Oryzias latipes: one gene and its partner. The protein of the gene in region 2 purifies or fractionates together with the protein of the main gene of each other region. This does not show direct contact. Links are inferred from orthologs where the notes say so. Each region holds a gene or a part of one and is shown on either strand. Other genes may lie near its edges.

The links.
Region 1: the proteins of usp33 (region 2) and robo1 purify together in Homo sapiens (affinity purification with western blotting; 5 studies listed by BioGRID and IntAct, with this or other methods). This does not show direct contact. The link is inferred for Oryzias latipes from reciprocal best matches to the Homo sapiens genes USP33 and ROBO1.

The regions. Positions count from the first base shown.
Region 1 is NC_019871.2:9,337,013-9,352,460, reverse strand, and holds the end of robo1 (roundabout homolog 1), read left to right. Parts: intron 1-676; coding exon 677-719; intron 720-2,294; coding exon 2,295-2,449; intron 2,450-4,197; coding exon 4,198-4,584; intron 4,585-5,145; coding exon 5,146-5,262; intron 5,263-6,150; coding exon 6,151-6,295; intron 6,296-6,521; coding exon 6,522-6,752; intron 6,753-7,761; coding exon 7,762-8,246; intron 8,247-8,329; coding exon 8,330-8,491; intron 8,492-12,113; coding exon 12,114-12,389; intron 12,390-12,477; coding exon 12,478-12,668; intron 12,669-13,768; coding exon 13,769-13,783; 3' UTR 13,784-14,979; downstream 14,980-15,448. UniProt on the Homo sapiens protein: Receptor for SLIT1 and SLIT2 that mediates cellular responses to molecular guidance cues in cellular migration, including axonal navigation at the ventral midline of the neural tube and projection of axons to different regions during neuronal development.
Region 2 is NC_019875.2:4,216,420-4,231,867, forward strand, and holds the end of usp33 (ubiquitin carboxyl-terminal hydrolase 33), read right to left. Parts: intron 14,743-15,448; coding exon 14,596-14,742; intron 14,476-14,595; coding exon 14,367-14,475; intron 12,907-14,366; coding exon 12,837-12,906; intron 11,750-12,836; coding exon 11,636-11,749; intron 11,495-11,635; coding exon 11,416-11,494; intron 10,178-11,415; coding exon 9,733-10,177; intron 9,061-9,732; coding exon 8,920-9,060; intron 8,715-8,919; coding exon 8,599-8,714; intron 8,368-8,598; coding exon 8,195-8,367; intron 8,100-8,194; coding exon 8,029-8,099; intron 7,942-8,028; coding exon 7,908-7,941; intron 7,795-7,907; coding exon 7,749-7,794; intron 7,663-7,748; coding exon 7,482-7,662; intron 7,341-7,481; coding exon 7,214-7,340; intron 7,105-7,213; coding exon 6,935-7,104; intron 4,942-6,934; coding exon 4,860-4,941; intron 4,762-4,859; coding exon 4,653-4,761; intron 3,952-4,652; coding exon 3,849-3,951; intron 3,387-3,848; coding exon 3,318-3,386; intron 3,200-3,317; coding exon 3,042-3,199; and 2 more. UniProt on the Homo sapiens protein: Deubiquitinating enzyme involved in various processes such as centrosome duplication, cellular migration and beta-2 adrenergic receptor/ADRB2 recycling.

The DNA of each region.
Region 1 (15,448 bases), on a different chromosome or scaffold from region 2:
ACAACCTCACAACCTCAACTTAACATTGCCAGTGCAAAAAAAATGGCGAGCAGTATTGGTTTGTTTGCTTCTTATTCAAAACGATTTGGATAAAGAAATACTCAAAAATGCAATTTTAAGCTTAATTTTTTTTATATATGTCCTCCATAATCACAAAAATGCATGCTAAAAACACCAAAAACACAATTTTTATTGGACTGAGTCTTTAAACACAGAAACCAGACTACACTTCCTGTTTTGAGGAATGGACAGGGAAGAAACATGCCTAATTTCCTTCCCCCACCTGGTCTTCTTATAGGGTAAAGATTGTAATTAAAGTAGGAAGTTTATCTCGCCTTCACACACCAGCAGCTTAAAGCTCCTTGAAAGAGTTAAACTTGCAGCGTGCAGAGCTTCAAACACCAAGTACCCGAGCCAGAAGACCAAAGAGCTCTACATCTTTGTTCTTCGTAAGCCTCTTATGTATCCTCCTGTTTCTCCTTCTCCTGTTGCTTATGTGTGTGTGTGACTCAGCTGAAATTATGCCACATAAATGTTTTTGCATGTTTACCTGAACAGACTGGAAAACTGCATTGTGTCAGTTGTCATGTCGGCCTATATTAGGTCAAAGGATTCATGTGCTTTTGACCGAAAATGGGACAGATTTTGAAATTTCATTGCTGCCTATTTGTTTCAGTGGCGTATCAGAGAGGCGGAGAGGGTGTCACCAGTGCTGGAAGGTGAGAGCCTCTTTTGTTTTGTTTTTTAAATAGAGCGTTTTCCTAAAAGTATTTGAATCCTTACTATTTATAACATTTTTTTAAAGAATATTCATCATAATAAGCTTTGTTTAAAAAAAAAAAAAAGTTTACCATCCTTTAAGGCATGAACAGGGTTGGGCTTGTGTGTTTTCCTTAAGCAAACACTAGGGGGAGAGCTGTGCCTTTCGAAAGCAGCACAGAGCAGAGAGAAAGTAAGGTGCTCACATGAAATAACACTACAGGAACAAAGACCCATGCAGTTTGTCAGGAGCCCATCCTCATCCCACACGTTGGGGGATCCACATTCAACCACCAGGCTGTGCCATAGCATCATCATCAAACATTAATGGAGCTGTATCCACTTAGCAGTTAAAACGCACCTCTTGGTACACTGGAATGGTGCTTTGTGCATAAACAGTAAGACTGCATAATTCGACTTGCCGAAACTAATTTGTAGATTTACTAGCTGGCCTTGGTATGTTATTATTTGTAGGTAAACAAAAGAATTGTCTATTTTTTTTTTCTTGCCTATGGTATAGAATGTGCTTAAAGCTGCACTGTGAGTGTGTTTGAGTGTTCTGCACATGCTAATGAATAGTTTAGCTTGAAGCCATCAACAGTAAATCCATATTCATTATATTACCCCGTTGTGGATTGAGTTCGGTGTGCAGCAACGGCTGTGTCAGCGCTGCGCAAAAACAATGGAGGTTCGATATCAACATACAAGTGGCGGGGTGATTGAGGAGATATTGTGCGACTGTATTTGGCTGTAAAAGACAAATGCCTTCATTACCCCAAATGAATCCAAGAAATGAGTCATTTAGGATGGAATGAGGAAATGCAATTCAGTGCTGGGATATGCAGACCGGGAGTCATTTTGTGCAAATTTGAATACCAAAACAATATATGGCCATGTAAGAGAATATTGGCTTCTGTTTTTATGCCTCATTTATTCAGTTCGATCAGCAAAAACAGGCCGTTTTGTTCTCCTTTTCCACCCGCTGTTTGATGTAAGGTCAGGTTGTGTCATGGAATCCCTATAAATAAATAATCTGCTTTGTTATTAACTGTATTCTGCTGAAGCTTAAAGAAATAAAATATGTGATGATGTGAAACTGTTCAGATGGGTTTACACAAGTTATCCTTTGCTGTTTTCCATCTTTAAAGACCTTTTGAAACTAATAATGGTTGATGCTCTGGAATTTACTCTGGGAACACAGGAGTGAATTTTATTTGTCTGTCTAATCCAGACAGATTGCTAATACTCACGATGTCTCAGAAAAAGTGTCAAAGGCTGTGGGGGCAGATTGAGCACACACACTGTCTATTTAACTGGGTTTTATTTCTCCCTTTCCCAGCATCTGGCCAAAAGGAAAAAAGTACTAAACCAGGATTTTCGGTTTTCCTCTCCACAGCGGGATAAATAAACTCCTAATCCTCCCCTTTGAAACTCTTTATTCCTACTGGTGTTTTACTCCATTGACATGGATCTTGTTGTGTTGTAAGCTTACTTTCTTCCTTTCTGTTAACCATTTGGGACTGATGTTTTTACAGACCCGGTTTGCTAAACATTGGGGAATCTGCCACTCAGCCCTGGCTGGCTGACACATGGCCCAACTCCTGCTCCAACCACAATGACTGCAGCATCAACTGCTGCACTGCAGGCAACGGAAACAGCGACAGCAACTTGGCGACGTACAGCCGACCAGGTATGTGCAGGAGGTGTCATCTCTGTCATACAGGGATCGACCAAAATAAGCACTTCTCTCAAAGGCTGTGTTGCAGTCCTTGACAAAATAACTGCAGAGATAAGGAAGGTGGGAGCCAGGGGAGTCTGCAGTATAAAAGACAGTACAATCTGATTTCTAGGTTAGCTCCCCAGAGAGTTGTTGTATGTGTCTCTCCTTTCTATAGGTCTCCTGAAGAAGAACCTGGAGACTTATTAGGATTAGGAGCAACTCTGTGCTCACGTGTTTGATTTATCTGAGGTTAAAGCAGAGCTGTTTTAGGCAGGAAATAACCGGAGTACACTGAGCAGGGCTTATAGCTCTACTCTGTTGCTAATCAAATTGCTTTGCTGATTTCCATACAGTTGTTATAGCCAGTAATGTAATTTCCCCTAAGTGCTCAGTTGTTTAAGAATTGTGCAGCGGGCGAAGAGGTCAAGGCTGGTCTGTAGACGACGGCCAGAAGCAGGGCAAAGAGAAAAGGATGGAAGAAGAAGGATGTAACTGGAGGAGCAGATAAAAATGGAGAGAAAAGAGTGAAGGATAAGTACATGCTTAAGCAGATACTAAGATTCGTGGACAGAAGTAGGGAATGTGAATGAGATTAGGTTGAATAGATTTGGCGGCACACTTGAGCTCATTTAAAAAGAGGCTGATGTGGCCTAAAATTTGGACATGCTGCAGCTATACATTAGTCTAAATATAGAGACTTCTTTCCTGAAATTCAGCCTGGAAAACCAACAACAACCTTCACCATGGAAAGTTGGACTGCCAAGAAATGCTTTATGTTCTAAATTGTGCACGGTGGGGCCCTGCTTTTGATGGCGGCACATAATTCCTGTCCAGCTGTTCAGCCTAATATCCAACCAACCACTCAGTAGTTTCTCCTGGCTTCAAACCTCTGCCAGTGAGGATTAATAATTCATTCTGCAGGTTTTCTAGTCAAGTTTAGTTTTTCTTGGTGCTAATCACCCCTCTGAGGTTGAACACGATGAGATGTTTAACAGGCAATAACAGGCTAAAGGCAGTCTTCACTTCTTGCATGACACTTCCCTGTATAACGCTAAGGAGCTTGCCGGTCGCATGCTTTGTGTGTGTGCCAAAACTAAACTCTATGAACATTAAGAGGATCACTGACTAGGTGACAGAGCAAAGAAATAGGAGTTAATGTCCCTTTATCTCAGCCATAGGGGTGCTTTCACACATCGGCCTTTGAAGTGTTGAGCTGAAATGTGAGGCGCCTGGCACGAGCGGCTTGTACCTATGGCCGTCTTTGGTATTTACCACGAGGTTGGCTCTCAGATCTGCTGGAGGATTTGAATATTTTATGAGCCAAGGAAAACTGGATCTGTCAGCGAAGTCTTGCTTTTACTGCATGTCTCATTCCATGTCTTTGATACAGACATGTCTCTCTGTCCCTTTCAATGAGGATGCTTATACCATCAAAAAAAAAAAAAAAACGAGATGACACCCGCTCTGAGTCATCAGTTAGGCAGAGAATAGACCGGGAAAGGTGTAACGCCACCTTAATACACTTTGAATTGTAGGGTCAGATAAATATTTGGCAAACAGTGCAAAGTCTTAAATTATAGACAGACAAGCTTCTCTGTTAAGATGTGATCTAAAAAAAAAAAATGTTTTTATTTCAATCTTCTACCTGACTGGTTTGCTCCCGCAAAGCTGATGTGCTGCAGAAAAGACTGACTGAATCCCCTCCTCATGTTCTCCAGCGGACTGTATCGCCAATTATAACAGCCAGATGGAAAACAAGCAGACCAACCTCTTGGTACCAGACACAGGAGTTTATGGAGATGTGGACCTGTCCAATAAGATCAATGAGATGAAGACCTTCAACAGCCCAAACCTCAAAGATGGACGCTTTGTAGGTCCTGGCGGTCAGCCGACACCTTATGCCACCACCCAGCTCATCCAGTCCTCCATCCTGGGCAACAACATGAATCCAGACAGAGGGACCGGAGGGAGTGGAGGTGGACTTGGGGGAGGAGGGGAAATGAATGAGAAACACTGCTGGAAACCTGTCTCAATACAGCAGCAGAAACAGGAAATGGGCTCCCAGCTGCAGTACAGCATTATGGAGCAAAACCGACTAAACAAGGGTGAGTGTGAGGAAAACCCAGCAGCGGTTGCACAGGTTAACTCTCAGCCATTATCTTCCTCCTCTTCAATTTTCCCTCCTGTTCTGTCCTCTCTTGGCTCTTTCGGCCTCACCGTGGAAGAGTTCATGCTCATTGGTTCTATGTCAACCTTTTCAGTCACATCTAGGCATTTTTGTGTCTCCCTGCTTGTCTGTAACCATGTAACCATTCATCACTTTCTATGCTACCTATGGTCATTAAATATAGACCAGGCTGTCATCCTGTGGTATGTGGCATTGTGATGAAGGCAGGTGTGAGGGGAGACCTGTGGCATCAGATTTCTATAGAAAAAGGCAACAATGACTGATTCTACCATAACCTATACGTGCATGTGTAGTAGAACATGTGGCTTCAAAGTTTTTGTGCAGATGCTGCATGTTTCAGTTTCACGCACTTACCTAAAATGACAATTTGCATGTGCAGTTACTTAATTAATAGTCTCATAATCCAAACACGATTTAAGGCTCAACTCCTCAAGATTTATGCCTGCTGTGACAACGCGCTACACTGTCCCACCAACAGATCGCTATAGAGGAGGTGACAGTCCCATGCCAGCCACCATCCCCTACAACCAGACCCATGAAAGCCACACTGGGGGGTCCTACAACAGCTCTGACAGAGGCAGCAGCAGCACGTCAGGTACAAGGCTGTTTTAAAGTCCAAACATAGAAAAAAATCCATATAAAATTGGATTTTTGTTTGATTGGTTATGTTTTTGGCTCCTTTTGAAGTGCAAAATGTTTTCATCTTCCTGCTGTAATGGAAATATAATCACATTCTCTGATTTTAAAATTCTTGTTTATCTCTAAAAGGCAATAAATCATTGTTGAAACACTAATAAGATTTGGTTTAGGTCTTAATCTGATTGACTTCCAAGTCAAACAGAAAACAAGTTGCTCAGTTCTCGTATTTTTTCCTTTCAATGTGCCTTGTTGTTCTAGGCTAAACAAAATAAATTAGATACAAGTATCTGTTTTCTATCATTTCTGCTCCTCTTTTGTTGTTTTGCTTTGTATTTACATCACTTTTGTTGTGTGTTCATTAATTCAGTTAAATGGTTTTACTTGAAATCAGTGTGGATCTGCATAATTTCATCAGGACTTCAGTGTCTGTCGGTGGACAAGGACAAATGACTACACATCCTGGGCGGCATGCAACGCTGCCACCTTAATGCCACGTATCCATTCTGATATTGCACTTGAAATTCAAGCCATTAAGATGAGGCCTTTAGTTCTCGCTGCACATCACAGCTCATTGGTTTACAGTTTTAGTGGGCTAGCTTTAATTAAACGCTTTTTTCCACAGTTTTCATTCTGCAGTATTTTCCACCATTTAATATTTGCAAAGGTGTGAACGCTGACATAAAATAAGCATTTTGCCACTGTTGTTCATTTTATCCACTGTAAGCTTCTTTTATGTGTTTTTTTTTTCTTGCATCAATAATTGATTTGTTTATTTACTTTATTATTTGCATCTGAAGTAATCCTGGGATTAAGCTTTCCTTTTTTTTCCCCATTTGTTGAGCAGGTAGTCAGGGTCATAAGAAAGGAGTGCGCACCCCCAAACTACCCAAACAAAGCACAATGAATTGGGCTGACCTTCTGCCTCCCCCTCCTGCAAACCCACCCCCGAGTCGGAGCACAGAGGAGTACTCTCTGTCGATGGATGAAAGGTAGACAAAGGCAGTCTGAGCACACAATGCATTTGAATACTGGTCCAGTTTCATCAATTCTTTGGTATCCATTCCAAGTATTTGCTCCAGGTGTTGTCTGTGCTGGGTCCATGTCAAACCTTGATCGAAGGATGAATATTTATTGCATGCTTTTCTGGCTTCAAGGAATAAAGGCCTTTCCCAGCATGTTACGATGCTAACGAAGCTTGTTTGTGTCTGCTGGCAGCTGTGATCCGGACATGCAGTGCCCCATGCCCCCATCTCACATGTACCTGCAGCCCGATGAGCTGGAGGAAGAGGAGGAGATGGAAAGAGGGCCCACTCCTCCAATCCGTGGGGCGGCCTCTTCCCCAGCTGCAGTGTCCTACAGTCACCAGTCCACTGCCACTCTTACCCCTTCACCCCAGGAAGAGATGCAACCAATGCTCCAGGATGCTCAGGACAGCCACGAACGCCGGTACACCTGTAGTATTTCATCTCATAACAAGTCTGTAATGACAAACCATCACATATTCTTATTTTGAGTCTTACAGAAAAGCACACGTGTGTTAATTTTGAATTACAGTTTTATCTTCCTGGGAGTCATTTGCTATATTAGAGTCAGTACAAGGTGGCAGCTGAAATAAGTCTACAGTAAATGTCTAAATGCCCTTAAAGACCCACTCCAATATGGCATTTTTTCTCAAGATGATAAAGAAAATTAAACGTCTTTCAAATTGTTGTGAATCAGGAGCAGAAGAAAAAAAGCAGTTTGAAAAAGCTTGTAGTAGTGACTTAGAAGGTACATTCGGTTGGTCACAAGCTCCCTGCTCTGCTCCAGTCTGATGCATTCACTTGTAGACGACTAGATCCATGTGCGTCTTGTTTTCCTCCGGCATCTGGCTTAAAACTGTACTGTACGTCTGGATAACTCCAATATTGTTTGCCATTTTTGTTGCACCAGTAATGTTATGTTAGGGTTGTGAGGGGCTGTAGTGGGAGAGGGTGTAAACAGATAGATGGAAAATGAGGGAGGGTTTACAGGGCACCTACAGTTCCGCCTACAACTAAGAGGCAAATTTCCAATGAAATACTTCCGCTCTGCAGAAACTACGTTCTAGAAAACAACACAGGACTTGCTAAAATTTACATAATCATAATTAAAAGACCACTGGAAACACTTTTAAAACCAATCAGAAGATGATTGGAGTGGGACTTTAAAATCATTTATGTCAGAGATGAGACCATATAGAAGCCTGGAACTGTGTGTCGTGTTGGGTATTTGACCGTAGCATTAAATCCTAAAAGTCAATCATGTACTAACGTTGAGAGAAAGAAGTACCTGACAAACCCATTTAGATCAGTTTAAGCAGCTATGATCTGGGTCCTTTTGACCGAGCACTGATCAGTTTATTTGTTTATACATGTTTTTTATTAAAATTGATTTGAAATATTATACTTCTCTTGATAAAATGCACTTCTTTTAGGCGCCATGTTGTGAGCCCCCCACCACCTCCAAGACCACTCTCCCCCTCACACACGTACGGGTTCATCAGCAGCCCGTTGGGGTTGGACACTGATGGAATGGAGGAGGAGGGTATAATGGAAGAAGACGAAGAGGATGGTGATGAGACAGACGCTGAAGTAGCCAAGATGCACTTCCATCACACACACCCCCACCACCCTCAAATGCACGCACGAAGGTTGTTACTACGAGGGCTTGAACAGACACCAGCATCCAGCATGGGTGATCTGGAGAGCTCAGTGACCGGCTCCATGATCAACGGGTGGGGCTCGGCCTCTGAGGAGGACAATGTTTCGTCAGGGAGGTCCAGCGCTGTTAGCTCCTCAGACGGATCCTTCTTCACAGATGCCGATTTTGCTCAAGCGGTTGTTGCTGCTGCAGAGTATTCAGGCCTCAGGGTGGGAAAGCACCCAAATTCACAAGGCCAGGAAGCAGGAGGAGCTCCAGGTACCATCAGTTCATTAGCAGCCTTTAGTGGAAGAAATTTCTTGAACAGCATAAACAAACGACTGTCTTGTCTCTTTCCTCAGCGCCAAAATACCAAATAAGCCAGTCAAGTCACCGTCCCAGCAGCCCGGTGTCTACAGACAGTAATATGAGCATGGCTGCTATACAAAGGAGGCCTCCAAAAAAGCTAAAACAGCACTCTGCGGGTCACCTAGGGAACCAACGACGTGAGGCCTTCAGTGAAGGTACACATATGCTTTCATGTGTTATAAGCTCAGTTTGAGTTCATGTTTTATGTAGATTAAATTTGTGAGAAAAGATGAAAAATTCTATAAACTAAAATTGCAAATCCACAACTCTTGACTTTTGTGGGAGTTCTAGTCTAATCTTTAAGGGCTTTTTTTTTTCTTTTCTTTACAGGATGGCATAAAGACCCTTTCCAAAAGTGTATTTATTTCCATAATTACATAAAAAAAAGTACTTTAATAAAACATATATATATATATATATATATATATATATATATATATATATATATATATATATATATATATATATATATATCCAGGGATTACTTCTTTTAATTTGATTTCAAGTATTATTTTTACATAAATAAGAGTTTCAGCTCATAAAAGCCACAAAAATAGGATTTCAAAAATGTTTATTGTGGATAAATCACCATTTACCTTTTTTAAAGGCAGAAATTATGATTACATCAAAGTTATCAAAACAAAGTATTTTCAATATGACATGTCCATCTTCAGTACCTCAGTAGTATGGGCAGGGGCCAGGGTCTCGTATCCAGGTCCTCCTTCTCCTTGACCAGTATAGATGTTTCCCTGTTGGCCCAGGCTCAGATATTACCAGAGGAACCCGACAACTGTAGCCCATCTCCCGAATATGTCTGAAAGCGGTGGTTTTTGAAGCTGTCCCTCCACTCATTCCACTTTTTCCTTTTGATAATCGGTTGAAGTCCACCGTCGTTTCTTTTGTTGGTCCATCTTCTCCTCCTCGACCTGCTTGAACACAGCGCTTTGTGAACAGCCAGCCTCCTTAGCTATGAACTCTTGTGGCTTACCCAAACTATGTAGCGGATCAATGATGGTCTTCTGGTTAGTTGTCAAATCTGAAGTCTTCCCCATATTGAACCGAACTGAACCAATTTAATGACATCTGGGGAACTTGTGCAGGTGCTTTGAGTTCAGTAGATGGTTAGTTTGTGAATTTCATTTATCCTACAAAATTTGGGCAGATTTCTCCAAATTATTGTACTTTTTGAAATCTTTTTTTTTTTTTTTTTGTGGGTTTTATGAGCTGGAACCCCAATTTAAGTAATATTAAACTGGGGTTAGTAGTATATTCCACAAAAGTTTAGTTGAATGAATAACACTTTTCTATAATATTCCAATTTTTTGGAAAAGGGCTGTACATTTTTTTTCAAACAAGTTTTTTATCGGGCTATTAAATAAATAGATGCACAAGCAGCTGCATCCTGTTAACTCACATATAACCGGTTTGTGTCAGTGGCTCCTGTACAGAGATGTAAGGATAAAAATATGTTAACTGGGATATAGTGTTTGTAAATTTCCAGGTATAGGTGTGCAGCAAAGCAACCTCATGCATATGTGGCAGATTTTTTGATCTCTATTATTACTAAACAGACGAGCAAATTGTGGGCAGCAGGCCAGGGGTTATAGGGAAATCATGGAAGAGGAGCTTTGGAAGGAGAGTTCTGCTTAGTTTGGCAATGTTGGCACGTGAATGTTTCTTCACTTTGAACTTGAACTTAGATAAACTAGGATGAATACTTCAGCTCTTAGCACAATAAAAAACTTCAAAGTTCTAAAGTAACAGAGCAATTGATTTTTTGTAGTAACGATTTTGAAAAATAAAAAGGAAAGAACAGTACAATAAAAAAGGCCAAGTTGTAAATGGAAATGAATATTCTTCCCGTTTCTTGTCTTCTTTCTTAAATGTATCTGTGTGCGATTGTGCAGCATCTATCTATACGACATGCCGCCCTGGAGCTGGCTCTGCTCTTAGTGTCAGGTGTCCTTGAGTGTTGGATGCACTTGACAGGGAGATTTAATATCCAGCTCACTGGGAGCCAGACCAGCTATATCACTGCAGAATATCCTGCCACCAACCCCCCCCCCCCCCCCCCCCCCCACACACACACACACACACACATACACACACTCACACACCACCACCACGCCTCCTTACATCCTGGCTTCCTCCCCATCCTCTGCCCCTCCCTTTGGAGTGATCTCTCCATCCTACCCTCCTCTCACCTCGCGTTGTCTGCTGTCTTTGTTTGAGTTGGGAGGGGGGGCAGAGTGACAGCTCCTCAGTTCTGTCTATCAGTGCTCCTGCTGATTGTATTTGATCTGAATGGATTGTTTTTCATTTGGAGTTTATTGCCTCACTACCCCCCCCCCCCCCCCCCCAAACCTACCGCCCTGTTTGTCCTGCCTGTGGTCTGGAATAATGTCGTTTAGGTGAGAGGTGAGGAAAGGTGATCGAATGACATTTAGAACAAAGGCAGGGCCACAAAGGCTGTGTTCTGTGGATGCACGATTGACTTGCTCTTTTGGACGTCTTTCAATTCTTGCTTCGGCACCTTTACCAAAAATGTTCGCGCATCGAGAGTTAAAATGCAGAAAGCAGGAAAACAAATAAACAAGCAGGAGAGATAACCAATCTACCCCTACATGCCAACCTTCCTTCTTCCCTACTGCTTACCCCTCCTTGACCTAGTCATTTAATTTGTCTTTGCACAGTGGATGGTGAAATACCCCTGTTATATTCCCCCTATGATTCATACAGTGTTTGACTTGGATGCCTTCGTCTACCCACTCCTCTGAACGTAACCCTTTCCTGTCTCTTCTGATCTGTCTCAACCCTGTCTGCTTAATTAACCAGCAAGCCCTGAGATCCATCCTCCTTGGCAAACTCAGAGACACTTTTCAGACCTGAGTTCTGTCCTCGCCGATATTTCCTCGTAAATCTAATAGGCGCGCTGCTCCTCCTGTGTAGGGAGCTGTAGCTCACAAACTGTGGCATTGATCTGACTCTGACTGAGGCAGAAGTCAGGAGGCAAGACGGATAATAAAAAAAAAAAAAAAATCTACAGGCGCCTCTTTACTCTATGATATTGACCGCCCCCCTTTTGTATTCAGGGAGAGTGGGTGGAGGATAATCAGAAAGGTGCACTGAAGCTGTCCGTTTCTGCCAGCAAGAGCAAAGCAAAGACATCACCTGCCTCATCCGCCTTCTGCGGATAAGAAACAAACAAAAAAAACAGCTTTGATTCCCTCAGTCCAGTTCAGTTTTGCACACTCTTCTAACTCGATGCAGGCAAAGTCAAAAAGTTGCCAGTCCACATTCATCTTTAAATCATGCATGGTTTAAGGGTGTGCCAACAAAACTATCCTTCGGGTTGGAAGCTGATTAGAAGATGAGAAGCCATCGATCGAAGGCCGACAAGGCTTTTTGCTCACGTTCTGTTTAGATGCCTCTGTGATGTGTGAGAGGCCATGCGGCCCACTGCCTGCTCTCATGTGAATAATGGCTCAAGGACAAGTAGCATTGATTCATCGACAGGGGAAGTCGAGCAGGACAGAGAGCCAGCTGCTGAGCGCCACGCTCCTCCTCCTTCCTTCTTGTTTCTTGCTCAAATCTCGTAACCTTGACAATTTTGGGCCTCTCTCATGTGAAGGGTTTCGTTTTCAGTCTGCTTGGAGAAATGTTGAAAACTGTGTCTGTGAATAACATTGCAGATGTGAGACAACTGAGAAAAATGTAGTTCACACAAAACATTTAGATGGGTGAGGTTAACATTTCTTGCTTCCTGTTATCCACCAGATCTGCCACCCCCGCCCATTCCTCCTCCAGCAGTGCTCAAGTCCCCCACACATCCGTCCAAAGCAGCTCTGGAGGGCAGAGGAATCATATCCCCAAAAGCCGGTGATGTTCGTGACAAGCGAAGAGGACCTGGTGGCTACAGACCCCAAGAAAGCTTTGAGACCAGACCCAGCTCGTCTGAGCGCAAAGACGGCCAGGACAGACAAAAGTCTGCTCTGGGAGGGAAAGGCAGTAAAACTGAGAGTGGCTCAGGCATCAAATCACGGCAGCATCCAGGTACTACCGTTTCCCAATTAAAGCAGTCCTCTATAGTCATCTCCAGTGTTTTGACTCCTAAGTCTTACATTTTTGTCTCGCTCCCAAGGATCAGAAGACATCCTACCCTACAGCCGGCCCCAGTTCCCTGGCGTCAACAGTCCCAGAGATCCAAGTTCCTCCAGTTCTATGTCATCCAGGGGTTCTGGGGGCCGACGGAGAGAAGGAAGCCGAAGAAATCCTGCAGAAATGGGTCTTAACAGCTCTGGAGCCTTTCACCCAGGAGATGATGAACTAGAGGTGCAAGCTTATAATTAAAAAACCTTTAGACTTTTAGCATATGCTGTTCACACTGGAGTGTTGCTTCTCGAAACTATGCGCATGTACTTCAATTATCGAGCAGGCGTGGTGCACAATGTCGAAGCGGTGCAAATCTGATAAATCTTGCTTCAGGCTTTTTCTTTCACAGCTCTATAGTCCAGCATATGAAATACTTGGAGTCATAACATTCCGTCCAGGCGCAAACCGCAATTATTAATTTCTCCTCCATGATAAAATCTCAGACGATTGGCAGTTCCGCGAACTGGACACCGCCCATACGTCACTACTAATTATTGTTTTATTTTAAAATTGAATCCCTGGCCCCCTGATTGGTCAATCTTCAACTGGTTACACTTTCAATGCCGGGTCAGTGGCAAAGCGTTTTGTACGTAAAGCCTGATAACAGACTTAAAAGGTTGCGTAGCAACGCACAAACAAAAGAGTTTTTACCACGGCGGCCTTAAGGGCACTTACGCATGTTTACTTAGACTTTTCATTTGAATTACTCTCCTGTACGCGTGTTGCCAGTGTGAACATAGCATTTAACATTTAAATATGATTTTTTATTTAATCCAAAAAGGTTAACAAATAATATTTTGATGATAAAATAAACATTTTTTTTTTACTAAACCAATTACAGTTATGATGGTAATTTTTGTTTTATTTGTTTCACTATAAACATAAAAGAATAAAACATAGGACATACTGGATTATAGTAAATGTATTTATCATTATTGCAATTTCACAATGAATAATGATCTTGCAGTCGCTTAAGGAAATAAAATGAATAAACTCATACATATGATTGAGTGTAATCATGTTAGATTGACCACAGTTTAAACTGATATGGATCATAGTTCCAGAGCAATGTCACTGGAAGTCAATAGTGCTATGCAGCAATACTGACTCTGATGAACATGTGATGACAGGGGCTTTCTTCACAGGATCACAATCCAATTTATTCTCACTTATGCAGTTTCGTCTCTTTTTAAAAATCTCTCACCCATATTGATTTATATTCTGTTAGTTCATGTGAAGCTAACAACAGCATTTCTGTGTGTGTTTTTTTTTACCTCTAGATAGCGGAAAGCTGAAGAACAGAGAAGGAAACGAAGGAACTGTTTAGATTTTTCCAAGAATGGAGCACCATTGTTTCTCTTACAATTTTAAATATCTCAGTATTTCATCATCTTGTTGGCTGCCATCATAACTTCCATCAGTAATGTTTCTTTGCATTTGGACAACAGACCAATGTGTTTTGTATTTCTTTTCTAACTTATCATTGATATGTCCATGAGAAAAAAAAAAGTTAATAGCTTGACGCGTTCAAAACAAAAATACATACAATGGTATATTTATGTTTGAATTCCAATGCAATATGGAGAAAAGTCCTGCTCCAGTCACTGACATAACTCGGCTTGACATTTCAAGAACTTGCATACAGTCTGATGTTACTGTACCAGAAGTGCTGCAAGCTGAGAGGGTGAACTGCCTGTAAATATGTGTCTCCTTGTTTACCCATTGTGGTACCTCAAAGTTCTCTTCCTTGTTTTGTTTTGCAGATTATAATTTTATTATGTCACTAAATAATATTATTTTATCATTTCCATCCATGTTTGTAAATTGCTATATTATTTAGCTCTCCGAGAAAGTGCCACTTTGGGAATTGTGTTCTGTTTTGTAATGCACTGCTTTGTTCTGTGTCATCATCAATGTTTTTGTTTTACTTTGGTTTTAAAAGCACAATCACTAAACTTTATTTTAAACCATTCTATCTATTAACCTTTTTGTCTTACTGGAAGAAAAAAAAAGGTATGACAAACAAGCCTATTAATCCTGATGATGATGATGATGATGATGATGGTGGTGAGGAAGGTAAAGGTTAATTTTCTACAAAAGCTGCGCTTGAAAGGAGACTCTATTGTGGTGATTGTCTCCCTCTCCAGTTCTTACGCTAACTCAAGTGATGAAAAAAGGGTAGTAAATGTGAGTCATAGCTGCAATGTAAATATCCTTTTCACGATAACCATAAAGATCAGCTATTGCACATTACTCGAAATGGTTGCGTTGCCTACGAATGCACTTAAATGAATGTCCAGTACAGGAAATCCGTCACTTTGGGAATCTGGAGAGGCAGAGTCTCTTTTCTTGTTACGAAAAGGGCTGATAAAGCCATGTTTTAAGAAGAAAAAAAAGGGGTGCTGTTGTTTATTCATAGGACATCTGCAAACATTTGTTTCGTAAAGCAAAAGAATAATAAAAAAAGATCAATAAAAAAAACACAAATTATAAAAAGCTTTTCTTCTCTGACTCAACATTTGTTATTTTTGTGGGAAGGTGTTTTCATAGAACATACTCCTCTTTGATCACTTAAGTCAGATTAAGGTAAAAAGAGGCTTTAACCCTTGTGCTATCTTAGATGACTCCACCCCTATGTTGAGGTGTTATTCCTACCATGACAAAGGTGGATAAAGGTGGAAAGATTTCATGTAATCCATGGACACTAGTGAGGATCACAAATCATTGAAGAAAAATGGTTCAGAGCACTGTCTAGTGGGTCTAGATGACCCAACTCCCAATGTTAAAGTGCCTAGGATAGCACAAGGGTTACAACCAAACCGTGGGTTACACCATTGAACCGAATTGAGGGGAAAGTGACTTGTTGCATCCCTACTGCATATGTTTACATTAAAAGTGTATTGTGCTAAATTTCATATTGTTTTTTTCTAAATGACACCAGGCTTAGAATTGGCAACATG
Region 2 (15,448 bases):
AAAGGACCTCCAGACAATACATAAAATGCCGTTCAAGAATAAGCGATTCTGAAAATGTCTTTGTAACTATAGAATTTTTAGTCTAAAAATGCAAATTACTCTTCATTGGAATACCGAAGACAGACTCGAGCTCAAAGGGCTGTAAAACCTGCCAGCAATGCTATAAAATGAAGCACCGAGCAGCATGTAGTCCATGTGGTTGTTAAGAAGGTGCTGGAGAACCATTTCTGGAAGAACAATCGTTACATGACAAGGTTCTGGAGAGCTGCGGTGTGTTGTGACATGACAAAACAATATATCCTCCCACACATACAATTTAAAAACATTAAAACCAGAAACCTTTTACAAACAGCAACTGAAACCTTAACTTCCTCATAAAAATGATAGATGTATTGGCCATTAAAAATCTGAAAAGTATTGCAATTATAGACAATAAAAAAAGAACCCAAGGACAAAACCCAGGACATTATGCAACTGTCACGTTCTAGAGTTAAACACGTGGGTCGAGTTTAAATATCCCCAAGAGTCAACTCTGTTGTTGTTAAATAACAGATACGTGAGCATTGATTTAAGCAAGAATGTTAGATGATGGGGGACATGTTAACCACAAATACTAAAGGGCCAAAGTTAATTTGGTCAATACCTAGAGGTGACGCACGTGCAACTGTTGTCTTGTTCCTCTGCAATGAGCTTGTTTGGATTCAGATTCAAGTCATAGAAACACGTGTTGATCTGCATTATCTGGGACAACGCCGGGTATTAAGGAGCCCACTCACACCTTATAGGTGTTTTTAATCATAAATGTGGTCTGTGAGCGACACACAACAACACAGATGAATTTAAAGTGTTCCAGCCACAAAAGAGCTACGTTTACAGACAGCATGAGGTTTTACTGCGCTCCGTTTGATTACAGAGCGAGTTTCCATGGGCCTGAAAATCCCCTCCCAACTGCTGCTGAGATAATAAACCACACAAAATGACTTAAATTTAAAAAGCAGTCGCGCTAATAATGAGATGATGTGATGCCGCCAAACGAAAGTTGAGGGGAACGAGGATGAGGAGAAACTCGTGAAACTTGACAGCGTTGCCGTCGCACGTGCAGCCGGTCCACTCTTAATTGTTGAAGCAGGTGAACTCTCCACGGAGGAGAGACCGGCCCCGGAGCGCAGAACCAGTCCGTGTAACCAGCGATGGAAACCTAGCATGCTCCAACTTCCACGCAAACCTCAGTTAACCTAGCATGCCGCTCGGTGAGCTAGCAGCCCAACTTACCGTTAGCGCTCACACACATCAAACATTAACGCTCAGAATGAGTCGAGATAACATACTGTTGCGTTCAACACAAAACAAAAACAAAAAAAAAATCAGGCTACCTCATAAATTCCATTCAACTACAACACAGACTTCAACCTGCTTGGTTATTTTTCTGTTCTGATCGACTAGTCAAGTTGGCTAACATCACACTGGCTAGTTTTCTTCTAACTGAATCGTGTTGATTTGATTAGTTGACGGTCGAGTTGCCTCCACCAGTGGCAGCAGTCACATGCTAGCTAGCACCCACAACTGGTATAAATCCTAGCTTCACGAAAAACACAAATGGCTGGAAAAAATTTCTACCAACCGGGTTTGGCCGATGATAAACATCCCGCTGCAGTAGCATGGTTAGCGGTCCAGCGGCAGTAGTTACTCAGTTAGCCCCAGCGGCTAGCTGCAACAGCCCAGCATTAGCTAGCCAAGCTAGCTGATTGTTCCGCGCATAACTTTGCCGATGTGCAACTGTGAAGCCCACAATTACGACCACACACACTTTTAGTGTAAGAAGACATCAAAGTTTGGGAATTTCTTCAACTAAAAAGGACCCGGCTGGAAGTCTAGTTCTAAACAGCTTTTTGAAGCTTAAGAATCAGCCATACCTCACTTCCGTAAATTCGCTGCACGTTCGGCCGCAGCCATGTTTTCAATCCAGTCAACTAGTCGGGGTGTGTGTGAAGCGACTCAGCCGCTCTCCCGATCGTGCGACGCCATCCCGTCAGTTCTCTGCTCCCGCAGAGTCCGAGCCGTCGACAGAAATCCCCCGAATTCCCTTTCCGCGGCGGGTGAGCGCGCGCTCTCCGAACGTAGCGCGCCCCTCGTTTGTCGGCGTTTATCCCGCAAACAGTCCAAGAAGTATCACGCCAACGAGGGCAGTGCTCAGCATCGATTCAAGTTTTAATAGTGTCCGCCAGCAGAAATAAAGGGAGACCTCACTTTATTAGCAAAAACTTGGAGAGCAGCATTCAGTGGATGAAGCAACACTATGCCCATAGCAAAAAAATAATGCCTTTAATTAATAATGAATGGATGATGATTGGGTGCTACAATGGCATTTCCATAGCTGTCCAGAAGTGAAGCATGCACATTTTGAGTGTTAAGCATGCTTTAACTGCAGTGGGCCTTCAAATACAAAAATACATAATAAAGCAACCTTCTTAGTGATGAATAAGCAAGTGCTGAACTGAGCCAACATCCTAGGAGTACTGATACATTCACATACAAATCATGAGTACGTCTACAGAACAGTGCAAAACAAAAGTCTTTCCTGAGACTAGTCAGAAATTAGTCCCTTCATAACCTTTTACATAGTCATCACACACAGTCTCACATTTTGCAATTAATGCCGTTCAGGGGACAATACTTTTTGTACAACAGGAAAGAAAATGTGATCTATTTACAGAGTGTATTTAACAACAGCAATACCTACGGACATACAATTTGTGCTCATTAAATCAAGAAAAAAAATGGCATTCTGAGGAACTTTTAGCTGCTCATAAATTACATGAATCGCAGTGAAAAAACAATCACATGAAATCAACAGTGCCAAGAGAAGTTCAAGAGCTCTTTATACAGATTATTACAGCATAGCAGACCTCAGCATGCCTTCAGACTGTCGGTTAGCGGTACAAATAGGGTCCTTTGCTTGAATAAATGTCCAGTGCAAAAGAAAAAAAAGGCTTACTTTTATTCTAAAACGATTTTTTCATTGTTTATTGTGAAGTGTTTGGTTAAATAGAGCGCGTCTCCAGCTCAATCTTCTCCTCCGACTGCGACGGCTCCGTTTCCTGGTGATTGACGTTCGGTCGAAATGTCACCAGTGGGCCTCCTCCGTAGATGGAGTGGAGGAAGTTCCAAGTCTCTTCGGAGATCTGTCCAGAGTCTGCACCTGCAGAAGCAACACCTACTAGTCAAAATACGAGCAGCTTTAACACCATGCTTATCCTGTGTTTGGAGGGCAGAGAGAAGCACGGTCGCTTAAAAGCCTTAGACCAAAGTCCTTTTACCTTGTCTGAGCGTCAGATGTCCATTCTTATTTGCCGTTATCTTGGAATTATCGATGGGTCCTGGTATGTCTGAAAGAAAAACACGTGTTAGCTGTCCAGACATGTATGCAGCAGGTCTCATGTACTCATTGGGAAATTGTTTAGAAATGGGAATTAGCCCACAGAATTCCTGTCCTGCTGGAAAACACTTCATGCTTCTCTTTTACAAGAAAGATGAGAAACAAACTGCAGAGGAGCAATGTCTGAACATTTGTTTCAAGATGCATAAATTGAACTGACAATTGAAAGGAAACAAAGCTGTAGCAGAAGAGACAAATGAGACAGTCGCAGGGTTTTTGAAGACAAAGAGGGGTCTTTACAGTTTCTTTTAACCCAAAAATCCATTCACATTCTATTTTAAAAAGCAGGTTTTCCACATTATGGCATGAACACATCATCCGTTTCTTTTAGTGGTCTAATGTTCATCACCGTACATCCCATTTCTGGGGGGCAACTTTAAACATGACAGGGGGGAGGGAAGGCTTTAATTACCATTGTCTTTTCCCTTGACAAAGCCCTCCCACTCGCGGAACCACTGCATGCTGATGCAGTATATGACCACCGGAGACTCCTCCTCCTGGAACGCCTTATTCAGCTGGAAGAGGGAGCAAAAGGGAGGAGGGGAGAGAGGAAGTGGGGGAGGAGTGAGCGGCAGACACGAGGAGGGAATAAAGGCGTAAAGGGACGAGGGGCAGAGAAAGAAGACGGGAGGCAAAACAAAATTAGGTGAGGATGAAGGGACGAAGAGACGAACGACGTGAAAAAGCAAATCAAGTCATTTCAATTAGAGGACAGCCAGTATGCCACTGATACAGTCTCTCTTCCTGTTTCTGTGCATTAGCTTACCCTTGTGCTATCTGAGGCACGTAAACGTTGGGAGTGGGGTCATCTGGACCCCACTCCCAACGTTTACGTGCCTTGGATGCATGTCAATGTAAGGGTGGGGTCATCTGGACCCCTCAAGACAGCACAAGGGCTCATTGAAGCTTTTTCTTTCACAGATACACAACACATTCATCTGTCCCACTGTGTAAGCGTGCACACTGAGCAGCTACTAACTGCTGCATCTGCCTCAGTGCATTCTTGATAAGGCTTTCATCTCTTTCACTCCTCTCATCTCATCTGCTGTCAGCTGAAGAACATCAACAAATCCAGCCCATCAGCCCCTGGAGCTGACTGGAGGACAGGCTTTATATGAGCTCCAGCTGGAACACAATGCATTTAAACTCACACCAGTTTTGGTTCGTGTCTCAGTGGCGAGTACAGACGTTCAAAGACCAGGGGAGGAATACTCACGCGGACAAACAGGTCCAGCTCGGACTTCCGGCGCTTTTCTAGTTTTTCTAGATCAATCTGGCATGTGTGGCAAACGTACAGGTGGTTGACAGCAGGTCCTCCTCCGTACCTGCATGCAGCGACACAAACACACACACACAGCGTAAATTACCCCCACAGACTAAATGACACTACAACTGCTGGACCTGAACACATCTGAGCACGTACCTGCTGTAAAGGTGATCCCACACGTTCTGTGGCAGCATCACTACCAGGTCATCAATGAACGACGCCTTGTTGGGGGGAACACCTAAAAACAAGGAGACGCTGTTGAAAACGGGACACGCTGACTCAAAGCAGAGACATCTGATCCGAAGAGGTGAACTGTTACGTCAGGATATAATTATGACGACTGTCGACAATCATTAGGAACCGTTTCACTTTCCTCCACAACACATTTAGTAAAGACGACTAGACGAGGAATGCAACAATTCCCCAAAATTCAGTTTAAACCTCTATGTTTGGGTCACAGTTTTAATCTGGCTCAATATATGATTAGTGTTTTACAAAACAACTATAAAATAAAATACAAAAAATGATTTTGCTAATAAGTAATTAAAGATGCAATACCATTCAGTTGGCTCATGCCAAGCCCGGTTTAATGAAAAAAACAATATTAAAGGCCTATATTATGTAAAATCAACTTTTTTGAGCTTTTAAGTGTAACGTTATGTGTATTCTTCTCAAAAACAGCCCCAAAGTGGTATTTTGATCCATTCACTCATTTGTGTGTATTCTTCTAAAAATCTGCTCTCTGAGCAGCAGCCCCTCCCAATCCACAAATACGAATGGGCTCTTCCATTGTGACATCCCAAAGTGAGGAACCGCCCCTTCCAGGAAGAGTCTGCGCTGCCAGCCCCGCCCCCAGGCTAACACACACGCCCACTTTCTCAGTGGAACTAGCGGTGATTGGCTACAAGCTCTTATCATATATGCACTCAATGAAGATGCATCTTTTCAAATATTTTGGATGTTGTTTGTTTTCATGTGCGAAACACAGACATGCTGCCAAGGCCGGCTCTAGGTTGACGTCATGAAATAGGCGGTACCCACAAAGAGCGCAAGGCGGAGCCTCAAAGATCGAGTCGTCTTTCTTCCGTGTAGGAAAATGAGCTGCAAAAGTAACTTGTATTTTTAAAAAATTGTTCTTTAGTGTGCCAAAGGTAATATACCATCAGATATATGGAAATAGTTTACTCAGAAAGGCTCAAGAATAGCACAACACAGGCCCTTAAAATATATAGAATTTAGCAGAACACTCATTTTAAACGTAAACAGAGTGATGTAGGGATGCAACCTTCCCCATGATTCGGTTCAAACACAGGGTTTGGTTTTAAACCAAGAACTGTGCCCTCCTAGTAAATACCCTTCAAGTGAGACATGCAAATGTAATAACACATTTAGTTTCCCTCTACACAACCATATGCTACCATTCATATTTATGTTTGAATCTATATGTATGACTGCACTGAGCATCCTTTGTCCTACAGCAAAGCCTCAGCAGAACCGTTCTCTGTTCCCGTTTTTCATCAGAGCTCAGTCATTTTCAGTTCTGTGACTCTTTTCCTTTTTATCCGGAAACAGAGCTCCCTGTTTGAAACCCTTTGTGGCGTCTGTCCCTGGTCTGGACCAAAAAGGCATTAGCTGCATAAAGAATCTCCGCCTGAATGTGGTGGAGAGGTTTGCCGAGGCATCAGACAAAAGAGAGAGAGATTTAGCAAACCTGCTGATCACGAGAACAGTGGGAAGAATGGCGTCTCACATCAAAAGTTGAACTAGTCGTTTGTCACTAATATCATTTAAAAAATAACACTTGTTATTTCACTGAGTGAGGTGACTGGATGAAGTGTGTTGGGTAAACTTGGAGGAGGCTCACTTCACTTACTGGGATTGTAAACTAAGAGGTGCTTTGGCATTAAGCTTTTGCCATGGGCCATATGGTCCCTGGAAAGCCAGAGTGAGAACATTAAGAAAGTCTAGTTCCCGTGGAGTCACAGGGCTGCTCTTTGCCTTCAGTTCTGTCTGTAACCTTTGTGAAAGAAGTTGCACAGTGGACTCGGGCAGTTTCTAACCAGATGTCAAATGTAAATATAAGTCACAAGTGTTAAAAAGGAACCTCTGCTAAAGCTATGAGAACGTTACAGAAGATTTGTCAAAAACCAAAAATCCTCAGCAGGATGAAAGCAGTGGCTGCATTTTGCCAAAATGCAAAGAAGACAATTGGAAGGAAAGTTCCGACACACCTCCATGCACACACAAGAAGTCATCATTGGAAATGGGCCCTGGCTCAGCAAAGGTCTTGAACTTGTTCAGCCACTGGCGAGAGATGTAAAACTGCAGAAGGCTGGGCTCCATCATGTTGAATAAGTTTGACACCCTCCCACGTTCCTTCACGGTGTCCCCGTTGCTCTTTCTGTCACAGAAACAGTTCATATATTAATCCGCTGTAAGAAGCTCGGGGAATTTCAATGTCTCAGACATAACCGAGAGCCTGAATTATTCATTCTGGGGGGTCAGCTTACTTATAGAAGAGCACATAGGCTTCAGCGTTCTGGACACAGGACTCAGACACCTCGGTCACGCTTTGGTCGTCAAACTCGTACCACAGATTGTTGGAGTCATTCCTGCAGTACGCTATGTAGTGGCCACCTGGGATCAGACAGGGAGAAGAGTAAGAGCAGCGTCCGCAAACCCATCCCTGTAAAAGAATGTCATCAGGGCGCATTTGTGCCAACGGATGGCAAATGCCCCGCTCTCCGCCAAGAAAGGGGAGTGACGGCGCCCACTCACTGCTGGCAGTGCCGTGGTGACAGATGACGGACAGCAGGTCATAGTTGGTGGTCTGGGCGGAGCTGTCTTTGGACAGAAAGGGCTGCAGGTCCAGCCCCTCAAGTGGGAAGGACACATGGGTGCTTATCTTGGTGGAGAACATCAGCTCATGTCTGAACCGCTTCAGATGAATACACAGGATCTGCAGCAGAGCAAAAAAAAACAACGTAGATTTAAAAAAACTGCGGGCCATAAAAAAACTGCTTCAACATCCAAAATGATTCGCACCTCTGGCAACTTTTGCATTTTACAGAATTTGACTCCGTTTCGTAACCTGAAGAGGAGAAAACGAAGAGAAAAATCACTTCAATCCATCCTTTGCTGTTTTTCATTAGAAGCAAATTCTTGTTCAGCGAGGTGTAAATATGAAGCTTTGCATTTACTAACTTTTTGCATTTTTCGCAGCTGTACATATTGTCTCCTGGAAAACAAAAAGATGCAGTTATTGATAAATCAATCCAGAGATTTGAGTTGGACAAAACCGACATTTGTTCCAGCACTTCATTACCTTTTAATTCGTCTCTGGCAAAGAATGCAGCCAGACAGTCTTGTAGTGTAACCACTGGACCCCAGAACCAGCTGGAGAAAAAGCACAGAGGAGTTATTTACCCCAACAGCAGCAACGACATGCTGTAGATGGAACAGGGTTGTGTTCCTCTATCATACATGCGTACCTTTTGATGTACTCCATGACAAATGCTATCCACCCCTGAGCTGCATACGCCTCCCCACAGGAGCCAGCTTTTACCAGCGAGGTCTGGTGGGTGGATGAGTGCAGCTTGGCCAGATCTTCCTTTCCCGGAATGGGCAATGAGATATCCTGGAAATTCTCCAGGGTCACAGACACCTGACAAACACAAACCGCACAGCCAGCAAGGCGTTAGGAATCCTCACCTTTAAGATGTTTCCACACGGCAATGTTTTACCTACAGGTTAGTCTTTCAATTGGAGCAAAACCTCACAAGTATGATTGAGCAGTCTTTGAAAACAACTACAGAACCCTACTGTCGGACCCTTTCCCATTAAACAGGACTGAGACTTGAGTTCAGCAGGACTGTAGAGATGTAACAACACTAACCCGATCACAGGTGAGGCACTGAACCGAGCTCACGATGGTCCCATCGAAGACGTCTGAAATGATACTTCTGTACTTCTTCTGCCGCTTGCTCTTCGTTGGGGAGAATGTGGTGACAGCTGGACGAGGACAGAGGCAGAAATGTGAGAACATGTATAGATTAGCACGCAAGTCGACAAAAAGACAGAACACGAGGTTACATTTACCCGTCCTTAAGTTTCCAGCATTTAATGCAGATTTGACTGATTGCAGGGTTCAGGTTCACCTCTGAGCCTCTGCCACACACACACACACACACACACATAAACACACTGGGATTTGTACCTTTCTTGTGAGAAGGGTTCAGGCTCGGCCAGCCACAGGCAGCTTTGGGCGGGCTGCTGGACAGTTTGGGAATGTGTCCCTCCATCGAGACTGGACTTTGTGGTCTTGTTGAGTTGGACATCTGGATATCTGGAAAACATTCTGGCGAGAGGAGAGGCGGGTTTTAATTCATTTTCTTTTGGAGATCTAAAGCTCCAGAAGCCGCTCAGGAATGTCAGGTTATCGGTGAACATACTGCACTGTTGTGAGGATGTCTGTGGGATGACTGTGGTTTGTCTGCACTACGGAGGCAGCCTAACAACCATACATAACCTCAATGCTAAACATGATTGTTCACAAATTAAAAATAATCCTTTCAATGATTTTACTTGACTTTATCATGAATGTCGTCATTCATGAAGTTCACTGCACATGCTTTATGAAGTAGAACTCTTTAATATATATTTAAAGCAGAGTACAATTTTTAATTGAATTAATAGGCATATAAGGGATCAGATTTCAGCACATTAGCTTCTTTATGAGAGCTCAGCAGTGCAGATCACATCCTCAGATCTTCTTCTCTTCTTTACTCCCATTTTAGTTTGCCTTTTTTCAGCTCAGCATTTCTGCTCCTGCCTTTTGTTTTCCAAGTTTCTCTCTTTTCGCACATGGCTAAAAAAGGCTGGGTCATTATCAGGCTTCTGCAGATTTCGACAAAGAGCTAATGAGCGGTTTGATAATGTGCGATGGAGACTCTGGGAGATCTGGAGAAGGTCACACAAAGATAAACCAAAACAGCAGGTCGACTCCTGAATTGTTCCGCCTCATCCTCACCTGATGATCTGCTTTGGACCTTAATAGCTCCTTGGCTGCTGATAATGGGTTTGGTCTCAGACGTGGTGTCAACATCTCTGTCGATGTCCACCCCAGTGCTTCCACTCATGATGACATTGACCCCGGAGCGGTAGAGGTCGTTAATCATGTTCTTCTCCTTCTGCCACTCCCTGTTGGCCTGGACCTCCTCTTGCTCAGGAATCAGCATCTCTGCCTCATTGGTGTCGCCCATGAGCTCATTTCCACCCTGCACTTCGTTGTCGGCTCTGTCGCTGCTGCCGCAGGATTCACATGACTGAAAGTCATTGTCTGATTGGGTGTGGTTGTCCTCCTCCATGCTGTCCCCCATGGCGATGCCGTTGGACAGGTCATTTGGTTCTGGCATCGGCTCCTTCAGTTCCTCGTGCAGCTGGTCCATCAAGCAACGCAAAAACTCCTGCGAGTCCTAAAGGTCCAGTTTGAAAATAAAAAAAGAAACTACAGTTTATCTTGATTTCTTGGAGAGAACTTAGAAAAATTGGATCTGGAATAAGGCTGCACGATATGAGGGCAACTTGCGATTTACGATATAACTTGGGATACGTAAACAAATAGCAAAACAACTAAATACATTATTTCCATTTCACTGCAACAGTTTCACTTAAATAAAAGTAAACATAACTTAAATTATGCTCCAAATGACCCTCGTCTACATAGTCATCTAACATCAAAGGGCTCCACCCGATTGGTCAAATGCATAAAGGGAATTATTTCATACGTTAAATACTTGCAATTTTTGCAGACTTTTGCGATATGCGTATTGCACAGCTGGTTGTCGCGATAACGATAAATTTGCGATTTTTTTTGTGCAGGCATATTCTGGACCCTGTTCAATTTGAAGCAAGGAAAATGTCCATTTAAATACAACTTAATGCCAGCGTTGACAAACCGAATAAAGTGTTTTCCACAAATCCTCTCTTTTCAAATCAAAAAGGACAATCACTTTACATTTTGGTTCATCTCAGCTCGTCATGGCCAAATCTAAAACCACGTGCTAATGAATGTGTAATCAAACTTAACGAACCTCAGAAATCCAATCTCCTCCTTCAAGCCAAATTAAGCCTGGTCTCCCAAGAGCTGAAACGTTAACTTCCTTCACGGCATTGAGGCTGTGCAGCCCAGCGTGGCAGAACAAATGAATATTCCTCAGCTAACCCCTTCAGACAAACACAAGGATGGGGGCACTTTTCCGCCAAACAAAACCTTTTCCCAGAATCCATCCGGGTACAACGAGTCTAACGTTTCGGAAAAACTCCAACAGTAAAATGAACTTTTAAGCTTTTTGTGGATGGTGTTCAACAGGCATGAAAGGGTTTTTAAATTAAGAATTAAAGGCACTGTTTGCTGAGCAACTTAAGCCAGAACTAATGGGGTTTCATTCAAGAGAAGTGTGTGATTAGAAACAAGGAAAAATGAGGGACAGCGTAGAATTTTAGGAAATGAGGATGGTCTTAAAATAACCCCCAGTTTAGCACGTGATCAGAAAGACAAAAACATCCATAACAGAAGATTACTGTGGTTTGAGGTTAGGATGCACAGCACACTGCAGAAAATGTCCTGAACTGCGTACACTGTAACCAAAGGTTTTGTGGAAAATGAAAACACTGATATTGCAAATGCATTTCATCAGCCAGGATGACCTACCTGCTGAGAGTAGCCTCTAAACATGGGGTTGATGGCTTTGATCCCCTGGAACAGGGTGGTTGGAACAACATAGGAAGGTCTGAGGAGTGAAAGAAACGGAGCCGGTCTTGAATAAGAGCGGTGGGGAAACTACAGCACAGATGACTCAGAGAGTCATAAGAAGGACCCCGAAACTGAAAAATGTGCATGCAAAGGGAAATAAAGGGGCTGGTATTGGTACCTGTTCTTGTGCCACAGGTCGGACACCAGCTTCTGGTAGCTTTTGCAGAGAGCCGGCTTCTTGTCTGTTTTCACCAGGCCACCACATTCAAGAAAAAACTGCGTCAAGGGCGGACTGCAATGAGGGAGGAGGCACAAATAAAAAATAAAATATCCAGTCAGAATATACAAAATAATCAAATTAGACAACATCTATGGCAGAGTTACTCAAAGACAAGTCCGTTCTTTTATATTAAATTAGATTTTTATGAAAAAATGAATAAAAGATGGACAAAGAAGTTGGGTTTGTGTATTTCATTTGATTTTTTTCTTTTATTAGTAACACAAACCAGAGCAGAAAGACACTGAAGTGACGAGAAAACCAGCTCAGAATACATTTCCTGATGCAGGCAGAATCCACAGGAATTAAGCAGATAGATATTAATTACAGAGTAAATGAGGCATGGAGGGTTCTCCGGTCCCTGGCAAGAGGGAAGGCCTTGAAACTGCAGGTCGGTGCAAAAGTAAGAGGGCTGCAGCGTTCCCGCAAACAGACATCAAAGGAGGGTTTGGCTGAGCCTGAGCGTCCCTCCTCCTGCAGCTGCACCGTGCCAGGAGGAAATCTAGATTGCTAATTTTGACCCACATCTTTTTTTTTTCCTGGTTTCATTTAAACCGAATGCAGTGTCCACAGTTCTGTTAAAACATGGAGGGATTGGGCTCAGAGCTAAAGTTCAATTTAAACAGAAAGAAGTAAGCTATTTTATGAAGTGATACATTTCATAGAGGACAATACAGAGGCTTTAAATGAATTAAACTGCCAATATTACTGCAGTAATGACCAATTAGGTGGAAAGGGGAAAAAAAAAGAGGTGATGCTGGAAAGAGGAGGAGGAAAAAGGAGACGCCGTGAAAGAGACGGACAAAGATTTGACATTGATTTGTAACTGTAGAGCCTACAGGGAACTACAAAAGTCCACTTCTGGCGTCTCAAATGGTGCAGTGCACCAATCCGCTCTCAGCCATCACTCTCCCAAATGAGCACAGCGATAGTCATTTCTCACAGCCTGCAAGAGGCAGCCGGTGAATAGAACCGCAAATGGATTCAGAGAAAAAAAGGAAAGTGTTAAAAGTGAGATCGGTGGGATCAAAGTAACGGGATGGAGTACCGCCGGGGGAAAAAGAAGGAATCCGAGAGGTTGCAGACGAGTGGAAAAGCTCACCAGTTGGACAGGGCCTGCAGGGCGGCGTTCATGTAGCAGGTGTTGCCGATATTCTTCAACCCCGACAGGCCTGATGGAGACAAAAAAAAACAACACAGCCAGAGTTCAAACAGGCTTTTTAATATTTAAAGGGTCTCCATGTTAGCATGACCTAGTTTGGATTTCGCTAAAAACACATGGAAAGAGGTTATCTTTTGAAAAGTGGTTAAAGTACTCGAGTTAACACACAGGTTATACACAATGACATGTTTCACAAAAGAAGCATAGAGAGAATTCCCCAAAAATAATTTGTACATCGTCTGCCATGATTAGGACTGTGTTTCTGTGGTCACTGGGTTCTAAAGAAAACCCAAATACATCTCTGACCAATCAAAGTATCCTGTTGAAACCTCTGAATCTTTCACGTGTTGAAAATCTCCCATCTTAACGTCATGTGACTGGTTGGAAGGAGAGCGTTAGCTGCAGCTAAAGCGGGCGAGGTTTGCCATGACGCAGCGCTCCTGATCGTCCGCCCTGTGCATTTTCGCTCTACCACTAATCTGTGGAGTCTGTCAGCTTTTCACAGCATGAAGTGAAAATACGGTTTACATTAGTGGCCCTGATAAATCCACTGAAGAGCACCACACCACTTAGTGACAACGATAAAGCTAAAAATCTAAAGTCTAATCTAATCACGGCTGCAGAGGGTACAGAGGACACAGCCGAAGATAAGAAGCAAACGGAAGAAAAGTATTTTTACGAGCTAATGGAATGCTCCCTCGGAGAGATGCAATGATAAAGGCGTTTGTGCAAATCTGAAGGAAGGGTGAGGCAACACATGAGCTGCTGTTTCACCAACCCAGCTCCTCTGCAGACTGTGTGCTTTAGTAGAGCCTTAGCCAAAGAAAGAACTGCTGCTTCATTCAAAGGCAGAATCTCCCCAGACTTCTGCCCTGCTGTGTGACCTGCCCTTTCACTTGGGTCACTCCCAGAATGCCGCTACTGCACTGACTTTAAAGACCCACTCCAGTGACAATGTTTTAGAAAAAGACATTTAAGATTAAAATGTAATTTGTGGATATTTATTTAATCAAACTGTTGTGAATCTGGAGCAGATGCACAAATGCCGTTAGAAAAAGAGAGTATTTGTGAAGGGAATAGGCTTCCTGCTCCACTTCGCAACACTATAAAAGAGGGAAAGGGGGGCGGGGTTGCTCCACTCCAATGGACCCACCCACAACTCAGAGGTAAAATTCTAATTCTAATGTCATGCTTTTGCCTAAAATGAACGTAATCATCCTGAACAGATCACCGGGAACACTTTGATAATAGATCATGAGATGAGCAGAGTGGGACTTTAAATGTATTATCGGTCTGCTTGGTCAGGCCAGTCCTACTAGACATCTGTGGGAACAACTGACAGCACATTACGACATCTGAGCTGCAATAAACTGCTTCCTGGGTGTTGTTTTGTAATTTATCTGCAATGCTGCAAACAGAACAAAAAAAGAAATGTCTGTGTCAGTAATGCTGGGGCCTGCTGAAGTTCACCTCTGACTCGCATGTCATCCTCTTCCTCGGTGTCCATGTCCAGATCTTCACAGCCCCCACTGGAAGGAACCCTCAGAGGAGTTGGGCTCCCCGAGTCCCTCATGGCGTCCTTGAAGACCAGCACACAGAATTCGTCACCAACGTCAACTCATCAGCAAAGATAAACAGGATGTTTTGTGAATGGGATCCAACAGAACTTTGATCAGGAGACGGGGGGGGGGGGGGTTACCTGAACGTTCTGCGGTGGGGGGAGTGGTTTGAAGCTCACATGAGGAGAGTGAGGGCCCAGCTTACGCTCCAGGAAAACCTCCTTGCTGCAGGAGTAGCACCACACTCGAAGTGTGGTCAGATTGACGGTGAGGTTGTGCCTGGACTCCTGCACAAATAAATGAAGGGAAGCATCGTTGCTGAGGCTTTGACGACCACAAAAACACGCCGAGCCAGGCAGAGAGGACCCAACAGAAACACAGAAAACACCTTACTGCCTGATGACAGATGCGTTAAATAACCTTCTCTGGTGAACCGACAGCAGCTCAAAATCTTTTCATCAAGTTATCATTTTCAGTCAAAGAAGCATCTTTGTGTGAGGCTCCGCCCACAGACTGCCAGTGTCCATCTGGGTCTAAAGTAGAAGCTCTCTGGTGGCGTCCCTGGACCCCCCCTGCAGAGGTGAGCCGGTCCCTGGAGGAGCGGTGAGCCGTGATGGCTCTCATGTGAATTTTGCTCAGTACTGTATCGGTGTACATGAGTTTAATGAGTTTAGAGCTTATGAGAGGAGCCAGAGGCGGCGAGCGGCAAGCCCCCATGGCGCTGTCAGCATGGCCCGACTGGTGTGACCTCACAGCAGAAAGAGGCTTGAACCATAGCCAGACAGCAAATTTGTCTCAGGTTTCTTAAGTTGGACTCAGACGGGTTCTGCTGGAAACAAGGCTGGGCTCTGCTGACCCACTGAGACCAAACACCAGACTGAACGTGACCGGCAGTGGACCGACACCCTCCATTATTCATCAGAGCAGCACGAGGCTTGAGCAGATGAAGCAGAAGGGAAACGTCTTCATTTAAATGCTTCATGAAAAGAAATT